Linked DNA regions of Caenorhabditis elegans. The protein of the gene in region 1 interacts with the protein of each later gene in a pairwise test. Each region holds a gene or a part of one and is shown on either strand. Other genes may lie near its edges.

The links.
Region 2: the proteins of elt-3 (region 1) and sma-4 interact in a two-hybrid assay, tested with the Caenorhabditis elegans proteins (one large-scale study listed by BioGRID).

What each region holds. Positions count from the first base shown.
Region 1 is NC_003284.9:13,932,922-13,940,885, reverse strand, and holds elt-3 (Transcription factor elt-3), read right to left. Parts: upstream 6,004-7,964; coding exon 5,937-6,003; intron 5,889-5,936; coding exon 5,766-5,888; intron 3,899-5,765; exon of another isoform or gene 3,627-3,898; intron 2,144-3,626; coding exon 2,018-2,143; intron 1,558-2,017; coding exon 1,455-1,557; intron 1,186-1,454; coding exon 1,062-1,185; intron 673-1,061; coding exon 514-672; intron 469-513; coding exon 374-468; intron 328-373; coding exon 171-327; downstream 1-170. UniProt on the Caenorhabditis elegans protein: Transcription factor. Required, in concert with signal transducer and transcription factor sta-2, for up-regulation of the vacuolar H(+)-ATPase and acceleration of lysosome maturation at molt.
Region 2 is NC_003281.10:5,814,610-5,820,702, forward strand, and holds sma-4 (Dwarfin sma-4), read left to right. Parts: upstream 1-1,622; 5' UTR 1,623-1,667; coding exon 1,668-1,739; intron 1,740-1,939; coding exon 1,940-2,017; intron 2,018-2,172; coding exon 2,173-2,487; intron 2,488-3,062; coding exon 3,063-3,203; intron 3,204-3,507; coding exon 3,508-3,612; intron 3,613-3,657; coding exon 3,658-3,871; intron 3,872-4,102; coding exon 4,103-4,263; intron 4,264-4,395; coding exon 4,396-4,523; intron 4,524-4,571; coding exon 4,572-4,737; intron 4,738-4,782; coding exon 4,783-4,884; intron 4,885-5,192; coding exon 5,193-5,315; intron 5,316-5,363; coding exon 5,364-5,456; 3' UTR 5,457-5,588; downstream 5,589-6,093. Other genes in the region: R12B2.7 (Ovule protein), read left to right, coding at 625-645, 698-904. UniProt on the Caenorhabditis elegans protein: Involved in TGF-beta pathway.

The DNA.
Region 1 (7,964 bases):
AGATACTCTACCAGAGCTACTAGGTTACAGAGGATAGGTATCAAGTTTCAGTCGTGGGAGGTTCGTCGGAAATTTGGCATATTCGGAGAAGCTTATTGTGTACATTGAATTCGAAAACTGATTGATTCAAAATCAAAAAAATAATTGGGAAATTAGACAACTAAAATTGCTCAACAAGCAGCTGCGTGTCCATGTCTCTGATGGGTATTCCTGATTGCAGAGTTTGGAGACTCATTTCTAGGACGTCGGTTTCTCTTCATAATTCCATCTTTTCTAAGAGACAGTGGACGTTTTCGGTTGTTTTTCCGGAAGTAGAGATTGCAGGCGCTGAAACACATAGATACAGTCCCGTATGATCAAATCAATCACTCACTTGCACTCGACACCTCCTTCTCCATTTCGTCGCCACAGCGTCGTCTCACGTGTTTTGCAATTTGAGCAGATGGAATTTTGATGACATTGTACAGCCTGAAAATCGGATCTAGTTAGTTATCAACCTAGTATGTTGCGTACTGCCATTCTTTTTTTCATCGGCTTCGGCTCGGCGACAAGCGGGTCTTGCGGTGGAGGTGTGAAGTTTGACATTGTTGTGTATGGATGCGTTGGTGAGCTGTTGAGAAGTGGAAGGGGAGTGTCACAGGCTGGTTGGAATGTTGCGAAGTTTGAAAGGTTCTGAAAATAGTAGAGAATTAAAATTTTTCGGGCATTTAAAACTGCTAGAACGTTTTCAAATTGATAAAAAATATCAATATTGTCAAGAAGTTTGATCGCTCTAAAATAACGGAGTATACAAATCCCTGCACTGTGAAAATTCAACTTTCGATGTTTTTAATACTGCACAGGTTTTTGAACAGCTCAGACTTTAAACACGAACAGATCATGCAGCTTACTGTTCGAAAACTTAAGGCAAATTTTCAATTAATCAATAAGGTGCCTGAGACTATCACAATTATTCCAATTAATACCCTCAAAAAAAGCTGATGCGATCATATGAACATTTGAAGTATCTAGCCCTAGTTTAGTTTTTTAGTTTTTAAAATGTTTCTACCAATGTGACGTACCAATTCAAAAATATTGAACGGCATTTGATGTGTCTGTGTGACTTGTGCTGTATTCATATAACTTGTGGATAATGGTGTTGGGAAGTTCATCTGGAGCATTTCTTGCTGATGGTTCAGTACCTGTCTGGAATAGAACAACGGGTTCATTAAGGAATAGAATATTGGAAGATGATGGATGACAATTTCAATATGATGAAGGAGTAGAAGAAGATGATAATGACAACTTCTGGTGGAAGTTTCTATTCTTTTTGCGGTCGCGATGATTGATTACAGTTGGTTATTTGAGTGACCTTGATAATACAATGCGAGACAAATAAGAAAAGTTGTTGAAAAAAAAATAGAGTAAAGTTAGTAAGGAAAAAGAACAATGTTCAGAATTGAATGTGCACTTACGCATTAGTGAAGTCCGCATAGGTCGGTTGGTCAAGTTGAACATATGGATCTAGTAGTGTGTTGGCCACTTTTTCCACTCGATAATCGTTCATCGTTGGACTACCTTGAGCTGGAAAACATTAGTAACTTGGTATAAAAATAGTTAAGAGTCTCAAAATGCGCGTTTCGGAAGATCAATATCAAATGATTACTTATTCTGATTACGGCGAAAACAAGTAGTTCCAAATTTACCTACAAACACTCTTTGAGGATTCAGCACCTCAAAATGGCCCTCTAAAAAAATTTTGTTAAGCTGAGAGAGCTAAAAAAAATAGAAATAGAAGTATACACCTGACGGATGGCAGTATACTTCGAGGAACAATTTTTTAAGACAATAATTATAATAGCACTGTTTTCTTATTTAGATATTTCTATATACCACAATTATTCCAAATTGCTTGACACATACGAAAGTAGCTCCTAAACTTCTTTGTCGGTACACCAAAAAGATACGATCCCGCGCGGACTGATTACTGCGCGTTGGCATTGCGGTTAAGACCGAAGGTCAGCCGCGCTCAACTTACAGTAATATGCAGCTGGTTTCACGGAAAGTTGAGAGTCCTTCATGAAGTTTGAAATACCAGGTAGCCGAGCTTGCTGAGATGGCTGGACAGCCTGTTGATGCAGGTATTCCGACGATGAAGGCGAGCCTGCAAGGTTTCAAGTTTGAAAACTCAACAAAAAAAAACTAACGTGGGAGTGAAAAAACGAAACGCGGCAAATGCAACAAAGAATACACAAATAGGAAGAGAGGTGACTATGCATACTCATAAAACGGTGGTTGTGTGTTAGCTTTGCCAATACGAATCATGGATGAGCAACCTTTTTTATTCTTTAAGAGGGAGTCAAGATTTACAAGCATGTTGTACAAGCATGCCATTCTCAGTTTTGTGTATCGAATCGAGCATGAGAAGTACTAGAAGAAAAGAGTTTGTTTGGAAGATGGCACTGGAGAAACAGTCTATGTGTATTTTGTGATGACACATTCTTGACGATTTTAGGAGCATGACCTCGCTTCTCAAAAAAATTGTGAATTGGGAAATATCAGGCACAATATATATATATAAAGATATTACTATTTTAAAATTTAATTAGTCTACATCATATCTCAATTGGTATTTCATTTGAGTGAACAGTGTACTTGACTGATAAAAATTGATACGCTAAAATCTTGTTAATCTAAATAATTAGTAGTATGATACGTTATCAACTGAAAAATTGCTGTTTAACATTCGAGAAATGATATCGGGCGTGTACGGGCGCGGATTGTGATGATTCGATTCACGGTAATACTACGGTATACAAGTGACCATGCAACTTGTCTTGCGCCGCCCTTCTCGAGAAATAAGACGATACTACTGGCCGGTCGGGACGAAAGAGGAGAAAAGGAATAGAAGAAGAAGAAGGAGAAGACGATGGACTGATGGCGACTGTTAACAATAAGACGGGGTTAGAGAGGATGAAGAGAATGGGGGGGGGGGAGGTTGAATATTTGTCTCTAACTTCATACTGCCCAAAAAAGAAAGAGGTACCATCCATTTCTTTTTTCTCTCCCGATCAGTATTTTTATAGCAATGTACTGTGGTGTTGCCATTGATTTTAGTTGCTGGCAAGTCACATTGCAGAACGAATGGTCAAAGTACAAGCGGGATACGGTAGATTCTTTTTCCACGGTTTTGTTTTTTCATTAGTTTTCACGGATTTTTCGGATATAATCAGTTTTAGTTTCCGTCACCTATCCCTTATCAGCGAATCGTAGGAGGAATGGCGCCAGCGCCAAATTCTACGAAATTTGATAACTAACACATTGTTATCAGGCTAGACATGATGGGTCGTGATAAGATTGTTAACTAAAATAAAGTTGGAAAGATCATAATAGGGGCAATCCCCAATCCCGTCCTCTAGTTAGACTAGATTAAGTGGAGAAAAAGTTTGAAACCCTTAATGATAAGAAAAGAAAATATTGAAGATAAGATAGGGAATACAGTTCGCAGTCCAGTTACAAGAATGATACACAGAAATCACTTTCTCAGTTGCCGCCTTCTTTTACTCCGCCCATAAGAGGTCGTGAGTTTGTGAATTGTTGAAGACAACGACAATATTCGGGAAGAGAAAGCAATTGTTCTTGTCACTCCCAACAACACAAAATATCAGTTGATATCCGGAGGCCAACAGCAGCGCGTACGCTCAGAATCCTTCTCCTTCTACCCCTCATCGCCACAGTAACATAGGTCTCGTCGTCGCAACGGGTTACAAATTGTTCGGAGAGGAAAACGGAAAGAGAGAATGGAGAAGGATGAAGATGTCGTCAACGCGTCAAGAAGAAGGAGGCAGACATTCCCGGCCCGTCGCAACAATCGCAGTCGATAATGATTAAGTTGTGATTGAGGCAGAAGATAGGGCCGCAATCGTGCGCACGAAGTGTCCAATTTTCGAGAAGAAGATTGAGAAGACGTCAACGAAAAGACCGTACCCCCATCAGCGGCCCCTCTCGTTTTGTCGACGACGATGACCGTGAAACAACGTGTCACATTTTGCAAAAAGTGAATGTTGAAACAGTAGAAACAAAATAGACATGTCTTCACATTTGATATGTCCATCGGCATTTCGGTGTAAAAGGGTTACCAAATTACCAAAGTACAAGTGAAATTGATAGTGATGGAAGACCACATGGTATACCATCATTATCTGAATGAGGTAGCGACTCAGTTCAGGAACAAATATGCATGTCTCAAAGCCTAAAATAAGTCTAATATTCTTTTTATTTTGCTAATTGGATTACCATGTTTTTTGACACTAATGAAAATTTGTCACAGGAACATTGTTTTCAATATAACCCCTATGGTACTCTAAATAAAATAGTATAACTTAAAATTGTTGCTCATAAACTGTTAAACAATAGCAATTATACAGATTTCATCCATAACAACTTTGAAATTCAACTAAAAACTATTTTTTGAGTTTTATATTGTATTTTATTAATTTTTTACTCTTATTGTATTTGAACATTGTGGAAGTTCAAATCTGTAGCAGTCTAGGAAATTTCTCCGAAAGTCAAGTTTTCAAAAAAAAAAATTATAAAGTTTGGCAATTTATCAAAACTTTGACTGAAATTTTTCAAATACTAAAATGTTCGATTAAATCAGTGTATTTGTGTAAATTCTTTTTTGACAATACATTGTCTTTAATACATGATTAAATTAAATTCATATTACTCAGTTTAATTTATATTAAAGTGGGAAGACCTTAACTTAAAATCTTGGTAATTGATTTTTAGTGAAACACAAATCTATAAATCTAAACTACTGTACAAGGACATAGATGCTTCTTGATTCAAGCGGAGCTATGCGATTTTGTAAGACAATAAAATCGAATCGCAGAAAATACATCTAACTGAGAGGACGACAAGCATTGAAAAATCTCATGATTTTGTTTCAATTCAATTCAATCAAAGATCTTGAAAAAATTTATCACAAACTCGAAACAAAGGGGGGGGGGGGGGCAGATAGCTCAGTCGGTAGTGGTGGCCGCTAGCAGTCTGGAGGTCACGAGTTCAAGTCCGGCCTCACCCCCTAGGTTCACCCAGCCTCTGTTGGGAAGTGGAGCAATCCACGACTGGATTATCGGCCACAGTCCCCGGCTAGGACGTGGCTCAAATTACAGCCCAGAGGGATCACCACCAGGCAGTGTACCTGAATCCCAGATCCGCAGTGCATAGCACTTGAAGAACGGATCGTCCTTCAATCCTTTTTTTTAATGGAGCAGACGCATCAAATGAAAAAATATGTTGACTTTTTTTCAAATCATGAGAGCTATTAGCAATATAATATAGACATCTAGCTTCCTTCTCACCTGAGCTCCGTACCAAATTGCTCAACTGTGTCAAGGATACTGTGTCAAGAAGCAAGGATAGGAAATATGGTAAGAATATACGCAATTAAATAATGACAGTAGTTAAAACAATCCAAAGTTTTTTTTCCAAAATTCGTTCAATTTTCCAAAAAAACAAATCCTTTTATCAGAAGTTACAGCGGTCGGTCATAATTTTTAATTCTTAAACGTTTCCCCAATTGTATTATTTTTCTTTGTCTTGACTGTTTAATCAAAACAGAAGTGGATTGGAAAGTAAAAAGAAAGGAAAAATACAACTCGTTTTTCAAGATATATTAGATTCATAAATTATTTTAAGTTTTCTCCCCTCCCCCCCCATGTTTGTTTTTAAGTTGTCAAAATATTGTGAAACATAGAGAACAGTCAAAAATGAAAACAAACCTTCCTGCCAGAAATTTTTCTGTGACGTCATCCATTGGTCAGTATTATCTGGCATAAGATGAAATAAACTGTTCACATTTTCTTCAGAGTAGGTGGTAGGTATGGGTGTATTCATACGACTTTCTAAAAATACTCGTTGGAATGTGTTTTTTTTTTTTGAAAATGTCCCACCTCTGGAATCAGAGCTGGAAGTGGAAGAATACGGTGGTGAAGGTAAGTAATAGTTGGCAGTTTCCATTTGAATTCTGTAACTGAAAATTTGAAAATTTGAATATAAAGTTTGTTGAAAAATTGAAACAACATGCAAAATCAGAAAAAGCAAATTGTCAGTGATAAGGCTTCCAACAAAAAAAAATAAAGTAGAAACAACTGCTGGTTTCACTTTTTTTATTATTATCGGTTTATTCATTAATCGATACGTGGAAAATCAAAACATTTACTACTATGATTATTTGACAAAAACAAAATTTCAGTTTGTTTTGGTTTCATTCGCCATGCTCAACAGAACACTCCATCAAAAAGAATACAGTTATAATCAAAGAGCAAACATAAAATGCTTATGATGAAAACACAAATGGCTCAAGTTTTTTTTTGCTTAAAAAAGTAACATAAACCGAAATCAGACAGACCCTAAACATATAATAAACGAAACAAAAAATTTATCAGGAATACCCTCTCTGAAAGCGATAAAAAGTAATAGAGCAACTTACACTGCAAAAAGTGGTGTTGGTGATAACATTTTACTGTCTTCCTGGTCTGTAATAATAAGCGAAAACGACGATGGATTTTCTGCTAGGAAAATCTTGATCCGAGAAAAAAGTGTGTGTATTTGTGAGTTTGTGCTTCGTTTTTGCTTTCAATTATTGTGGATGGAAGATGGAAGACAATTTATTTCTTTTTTGAGTGCAAGTCTAGAAACTGAAGTCGCGAACTATATATAAAACTATATGTTCTAGCAGGATTACATTAAAATTTTAATTTTAAAATTTTATTTCTCAGATTTTGTCTCTACATATGAAATATTATGGAATAATAAAAACATTTTTAAAATCCTATTTCAAAGGTTAGAATTCATAAAATACCTCACTATCAGAAAATATTACATTTATTTTTTTAAAAATATTTTTTCCCACACTTTTAATTTTTTCTAGGAAATATCATTCATTTTCCAAATTATTTGATCGTTAGAAATACATGCCTATATGAAATAATTCTCATTACTTCAGTTAGAATTCGGAACGTTTTTCGCTTAAAAATGCAGCACTAACTTGTAAGTTCTGTTATTTTTCTTTACATTTTTTTGAATTCAATTGTGTTTTTGTGTTTTTTTTTTGCAGTAACTGCTTGAAGTTTGAGAAAAATATTAGGTTTAACTTAATCAAAACCAAATAAAGAATTTTCTAAACCTTAAAATTTTGTGTTTTGATACAATTAGCCCAAACATTTTAACATCAAGTATTTCCGTTTAATTAAATATTTTTGAACCGACATTTGATCTTATGAACACTGTTCTCCGTAGTTGTTCTCTGCTTCAGCGCCCGAAAAAAAAGAAAAGATGTCAGTTGGTTTAATCAAATGTGGCAGTTGCTAATCACTTGGTAGCCACAATGACTCGAACCTTATCTTTTTTTTTTCAACTGAATTTATCAAAATATCAAATCTACTAGTATAAGCTGTTCGAAAATGATTAACCGACATTGTTATATGCATTTTAAAACTTAAAATATTGTTAATTCTAAAATCAAAATTTTAAAACTAATTTAAAAAAAAAACTTACTGGTGGTTTTAAAATTAGTAACTCAACTTAATCGAATTTTAAGGAAAAGGGTTCACCAATCAAAATCATATAAAGAGAAGTGAATTTTGAATAATTTATTTCAATAGATGAGTTCAAATAATACCGGATGAACAAAAAAAATGTCTGGGCGGTAACCGAGGAAATGGGAATTTGATGAAATAAAAGTGTGAATCTGGCTGTTTGATTATTCGGATAAATATTCGATTCTATGGTAAGTTTGGGATAGCGAATTTAAATATATCTTCGAGCATTCATTGAGGATATTTTGAGAAATATAAATTAAAAAAAAACTATTTATGTTTCAAATTAGTTTCTGGAAACTTTATTGGAGCATTTAACGGTTCTGAAATTTATTTTAGTTTTTTAAAACATGATACCGGTTTTTCCAAAATTTATCGAAG
Region 2 (6,093 bases), on another chromosome or scaffold:
GAAATTTTAGTGACACACGAAGTGCCCGCTGCTGCTTCAACACTTAAAGATATGTTCTATTGATGTGACATACGTGACCGTTGGCAGATAAGCAATAAACCAGGAAAATGTCTGAAAATTAGCTATTTCCCTTTCTTTCAACTTGTGCCACTCTCTCTCTCTCTCTCTCTCTCTCTCTCTCTCTCTCTCTCTCTCTCTCTATTTTTCTCCGATTCCATCCTCTCCTCCTCTTCCCATTCACCTGTTATGATCATTTATCGTCACTGGCGCCGAAGAGACGCAGAGTGATGGGTATGTGGAGGTAGAGAACACATATGGGCACATCCCCCTTACACAAATTAGGTGTGACGGCTTCGAATTAAATTGATCGATGAGCAGTCCGCACCGATGGGACAGTTCCCGGCATATTGAACAAAACAGTGTCTCAGGCTGGTTAAGACACAATTTTATGCTACACGGTGTTGTCACGTAGATTGCGGTTGGTAGAGTTTGCAGGGACGCAGAGAGGCTAGAGACTTTGGCTGTCTGCACTCTCTCCTCGCCTTCTCACCATGTGGCCGCGAGATATATTGATGGCCGAGTTTTCTCCATTCATAATGAAACAAGTCCCCCGGATGGCCAGAAATGGTTTTTATAACTTTGTTTGTGGGTGACCTAGTTCTCTCAATTGTTTCAGATAATTTAAACTATTTTGCAGAATGGACTGTTCACATTTCTCTATCATTTTATTTTTTGCTCGCTGAGCATTTCTGATCTTTTGATGATGTACTTTTTTACTTCCTTCGTCATTCCCACCCTGAACGATAAACTAATTTCCCTTTCGATTAATGCTTTTTCTTTTCCAAAATTGCACTTTTATCATTTTCAAAGAAGAAAAAGAGATGGCATGACAATTGTCAGATGATTCTGAGGTTCGACTTTATTAAAATTAGCAATGTTTTTTTTTTATGTTATGGAGAATTTTTTAAATAGTTCTCCACTGACTCACTGTTGAATAATTTTTACTTGTAGAATTGTTTCTGTGGGAGAAGCATTCAAAAATTAATCACATCTATTTTCAGAATTCCACTCCTTATTTTAGTTGTTTGTTGTTACATGTACTTATGTACTTAGTAATTGACACATTGCACAATTATTTAAATGCGTGGTAAAGTGCACAAAACAAAGAGTATAAGAATATAGTTTGGTTTTCATAGTTGGAATGCTGGACTGATTGCTGGAATGTTGGAATGTTTGTTGTGGTAGGTCGGTGTGTCTGCTGTAGTTAGGGAGTTTTCCCTAAATCCAAGTTTTCAAACACACTTCATCCTTTCCTTGAAAGCACAATTTAAAAAGAAATAAATCATATAATTGGAACATTTATTTTTAAATTGAGATCCCATTGCTGTTTGATTTGTCCCTTCTTTCTGATCTTCATCCTTAATCGTCTTCTTCCGTTGTCACCTCGAATCACAACTTCATTTATTCTTCATTATCTGATTATCACCAACCGTTCTAAGTAAGCACCTCCCATTTTCTCCATTCAGCTCTCCCGTATTCTCTGCTTCCCGTGACTCCGCCTCTTTTTTCAACTTTTTTGTGGGTTTGCTATCATTTTCTATCTCTCAATCTTTGTCACTTTGTTCTCGAAAAACGTCTGAATTGGTCGAATAATGTTTCATCCAGGTATGACATCTCAGCCGTCTACTTCTAACCAAATGTATTATGATCCTTTGTATGGAGCAGAGCAAATTGTACAGGTGAGCACTATATTGTAGGAGACAGTTCAAGAGAGAGCGCGAGAGAATGAGAGAATATGAACATTTTTGGGGAACACTTATCTATTATAGTAGTCTAGTAATTGCTTCTGATTCTTAAAATACAAATAAAACTGTCTTCGTGCTTTGCATTTAGAAACTGAAGTACAAAATTCAGACAATATTAATTTTAACTATTTCAGTGCAATCCAATGGATTACCACCAGGCAAATATTTTATGCGGAATGCAGTATTTCAACAACTCGCATAATCGATATCCGGTTGGTTCAGTGATATTTGAAAACTAATTCTCTCAAAAATAAAATGGACCTCATTTTACTATTTTTCTGCATATGTAACGAAAAAATCAATAAACTTATATCCCAGTGACCAAATCGATAAGCTTTTCAAAATTTATTAAATCAAAAAATTTCAGTTATTACCTCAAATGCCACCACAGTTCACAAATGATCATCCATATGATTTTCCGAACGTGCCGACAATAAGTACTCTTGACGAAGCGTCTTCTTTTAATGGATTTTTGATACCTTCTCAACCATCTTCATATAACAATAATAACATTTCTTGTGTATTTACGCCTACACCATGTACATCATCACAAGCTTCATCCCAACCTCCACCTACACCTACAGTCAATCCAACACCGATTCCACCGAATGCTGGAGCAGTTCTCACAACTGCAATGGATTCATGTCAGCAGATTTCACATGTTTTACAATGTTATCAGCAGGTAGAAGGGGTCTTTGAAAAATAGAAAAATTTTAAGTAAAAATATAATGTTTTAAAATACTTGTTTTCCTATTAAAATACATTTCAAGTTGTATGGATTTTAAGTTTTCAAAAAAAATTGCTGAGAAAGTTGCATATTCATATCTGCTTGGGATTTATGAAAATTTTCGAACCAAAAATTTAGATTAAACTGAAACTTCTCTACATTTGAAAATAACGTACTAGACTTGAAATTTTTATTTGATTTCCTCTGATGAAATCATTGAATAAAACTCTGAAAATTTCAGAGCTCCAGAATTTTTTCTTTCTTGTAAACTTTAACATAAAACTTTAGGAAAGAAAAAACTCTGGAATTTTTACAAAATAGTTCTGAAACTACTTTTCCACTTTTATTTTTCAGAACAATTTTGAAAAAGGTATTCCAAAACTTGTCAAGCAAAACAAAAGAAGTTTTAATAATTAAAAAAAACTCCAAACTACAAAACAAACATTGTGGGTACGGCAGGCGCCAAGATAGCTGTGGAATTTGAAAACTGGAGCATTGAAAGAGAATTAAACAATTTACACGTGTTTCAGGGTGGAGAGGACAGTGATTTTGTACGGAAAGCCATCGAATCTCTTGTCAAAAAATTGAAAGACAAACGAATTGAATTGGATGCATTGATTACAGCAGTTACTTCAAATGGAAAACAACCAACTGGATGTGTTACTATTCAGGTTTGAAATAATACAACCTTTTGCTTCTGTACAGTAACCTAAAATTTTTTATTTTATGCTTGGAATTTTCGAAAATTTCAAAATTCCAGATATAAATTTCAGCAGTTTATGGGTATTTCAAAGAGAAAAACATGTTGCTTGCCAACTTTCTAAAATAACCAACAAAATTTTCAAATTTTTTTTCGTGAATTTGAAGTAAAATAATAATGTCAAAGTTTTTTCCGGTTTGAACATTTTAAATGGATTTTTGTTAGTACTTCCGATTCTTCAATTTTAAATACAGTTATCATCTTTAAAAGTTTAGAGATCCTTGGATGGACGCCTTCAAGTTGCTGGACGGAAAGGTGTTCCACATGTAGTTTACGCAAGAATATGGAGATGGCCAAAAGTTAGCAAAAATGAACTTGTGGTACATGAAAATGTTTGAACTCGGAAATAAACTGAACTATTCCAGAAATTAGTTCAATGTCAAACTTCATCAGATCATCCTGATAATATTTGCATTAATCCTTATCACTACGAAAGAGTTGTCTCAAATCGGATAACAAGTGCAGATCAATCACTTCACGTGGAGAATTCACCTATGAAGAGCGAATATTTAGGAGATGCAGGAGTTATTGATAGCTGCAGTGATTGGCCGAACACACCTCCTGATAACAATTTTAATGGTAAGAGTTGAACTCCAAAACTGTAAGTAGAGGTGGCTGCTCTCTCTCTCTGACTTTTATGCCTGCCTACGTACCTTCTAATACTTATTTGTTTGATATGGATGTTTAGTGAAGATAAAGGGTAGATAGAGGCATTTCTCATCTGCCCAAGATGAGCATGAATATATTTAATACAAAATCAACACTGAGAATTTTAGAGACCGATTTTAAATGTGACCCAATTTTTTTCAGGAGGATTTGCACCAGATCAACCTCAGCTAGTCACACCGATTATTTCTGATATTCCGATAGATCTCAATCAAATATATGTTCCAACACCTCCACAATTACTTGATAATTGGTGTTCAATCATTTATTATGAACTGGATACACCCATTGGTGAAACCTTTAAGGTATGTTTTTCTATGAAATCTGATGACTATTCATTCATGGTGCAAATCGCCTAGAAATTTTTGTGAAAGAGCGTGATTCTATCAAAAATGTGCAATGGCGTTATTAAATAATTTTAATTTTCTAAATTTTAGGTCAGCGCCCGCGATCATGGAAAAGTAATAGTAGATGGTGGAATGGATCCACATGGAGAAAATGAAGGAAGGTTATGTCTTGGAGCACTTTCAAATGTTCATCGAACAGAAGCTAGTGAAAAAGCAAGGTAATTTTAATTCAGGATCATGAAGAAAAATATAACACTGTTTTGCAGAATCCATATTGGTCGTGGTGTTGAATTAACCGCTCACGCCGATGGCAACATCTCTATCACTTCAAATTGTAAAATTTTCGTCCGATCCGGGTACCTAGACTACACTCATGGATCCGAGTACAGTAGTAAAGCACATCGATTCACTCCGAATGAATCTTCATTTACAGTATGTTCCCATTCAGGGAGTTTTACAAATGATAGAATGTTACAGGTATTCGACATCAGATGGGCCTACATGCAGATGCTCCGACGTTCTCGATCAAGCAATGAAGCAGTACGAGCACAGGCGGCAGCTGTTGCTGGATATGCACCGGTTAGTAGTAATTTGCAAGCAAAAAAACGACTCGACGCACCATATGGTGCATCATATGATCAGTGTACTGATTTTCTGCACGGACCCAATGCCATAGTTCACTTAAAAATTATTAGTGAAACTGACTAAATTTGCGACCAGGGTGATGTATTATTTCTGAGAATCAAAGATTCAATTTACCCTGATGATGCTTCGGGCATCAGCTAGCTAATTGTACACTTTTAATTCACAGACTCAAAGCATCATATATCACGAACACGAACAAGCAAAGCCTGATACCCAAGTTTAAAAAATATTTAAAAATTCAGATGTCCGTGATGCCAGCGATAATGCCTGACAGTGGAGTTGACAGGATGCGTCGTGACTTCTGTACAATTGCGATTTCATTTGTAAAAGCTTGGGGTGATGTCTACCAGAGGAAAACTATTAAGGTATGTCGACTACTCTATAAGAACTAGTCACCAATGACTTTTTTCCAGGAAACCCCATGTTGGATTGAAGTAACTTTGCACCGTCCTCTACAAATACTGGACCAGCTTCTCAAAAATAGTTCTCAATTTGGAAGTTCCTAACACTTATTTTTTATTTTTCTTCAATAATGATATCTACCTGTATTTACGTACCCCAGCAGTTTCTCATATTCATGTGCGTTGTAAAATCTCCTTTTTTGAATTTTTTCACTTTGGAAATAAAGTTTTTAGCATAGTAAATACAACCACACTATGTAAAAATAGGTTGCAGGAAAAATCAAAGAAATTTTAAAAAAATGAGCGGTTGAGTTTTCTCTTTTGGTGGCCGCGTTGACGAAATGGAAGAATCAAACCATATGCACCATTGTCATCATATTTACTTACCCAGAGCCATTATGGTTGATTGAAAATTCATGGTTGAATTCTCACATATGGAATATCATTCCCACGAATTCCCACTAATTTCTTCAATGAAGTTCAAAATAAGAGTGCTCGACGGTCTCTCCCCTCTGTGCCAGTGACAAAAAAAGTGCCCCATTCCGGGAGAATTATGTCCCTTGAGAACCATTTTGCCAGGGGCCGTGAGTGTGTCGCCCCCTTTCTACTCTATCCTAGTGGCCCTTTGTCTGTGCGACACAAAATATTCCAAAAGTAACACTATCATTTTTATTGTCTTCTCCTACACTCATCCCCATTTCACTGAGCCATTCCTCTGAATGTTGCAGTTTTATGTGCAATT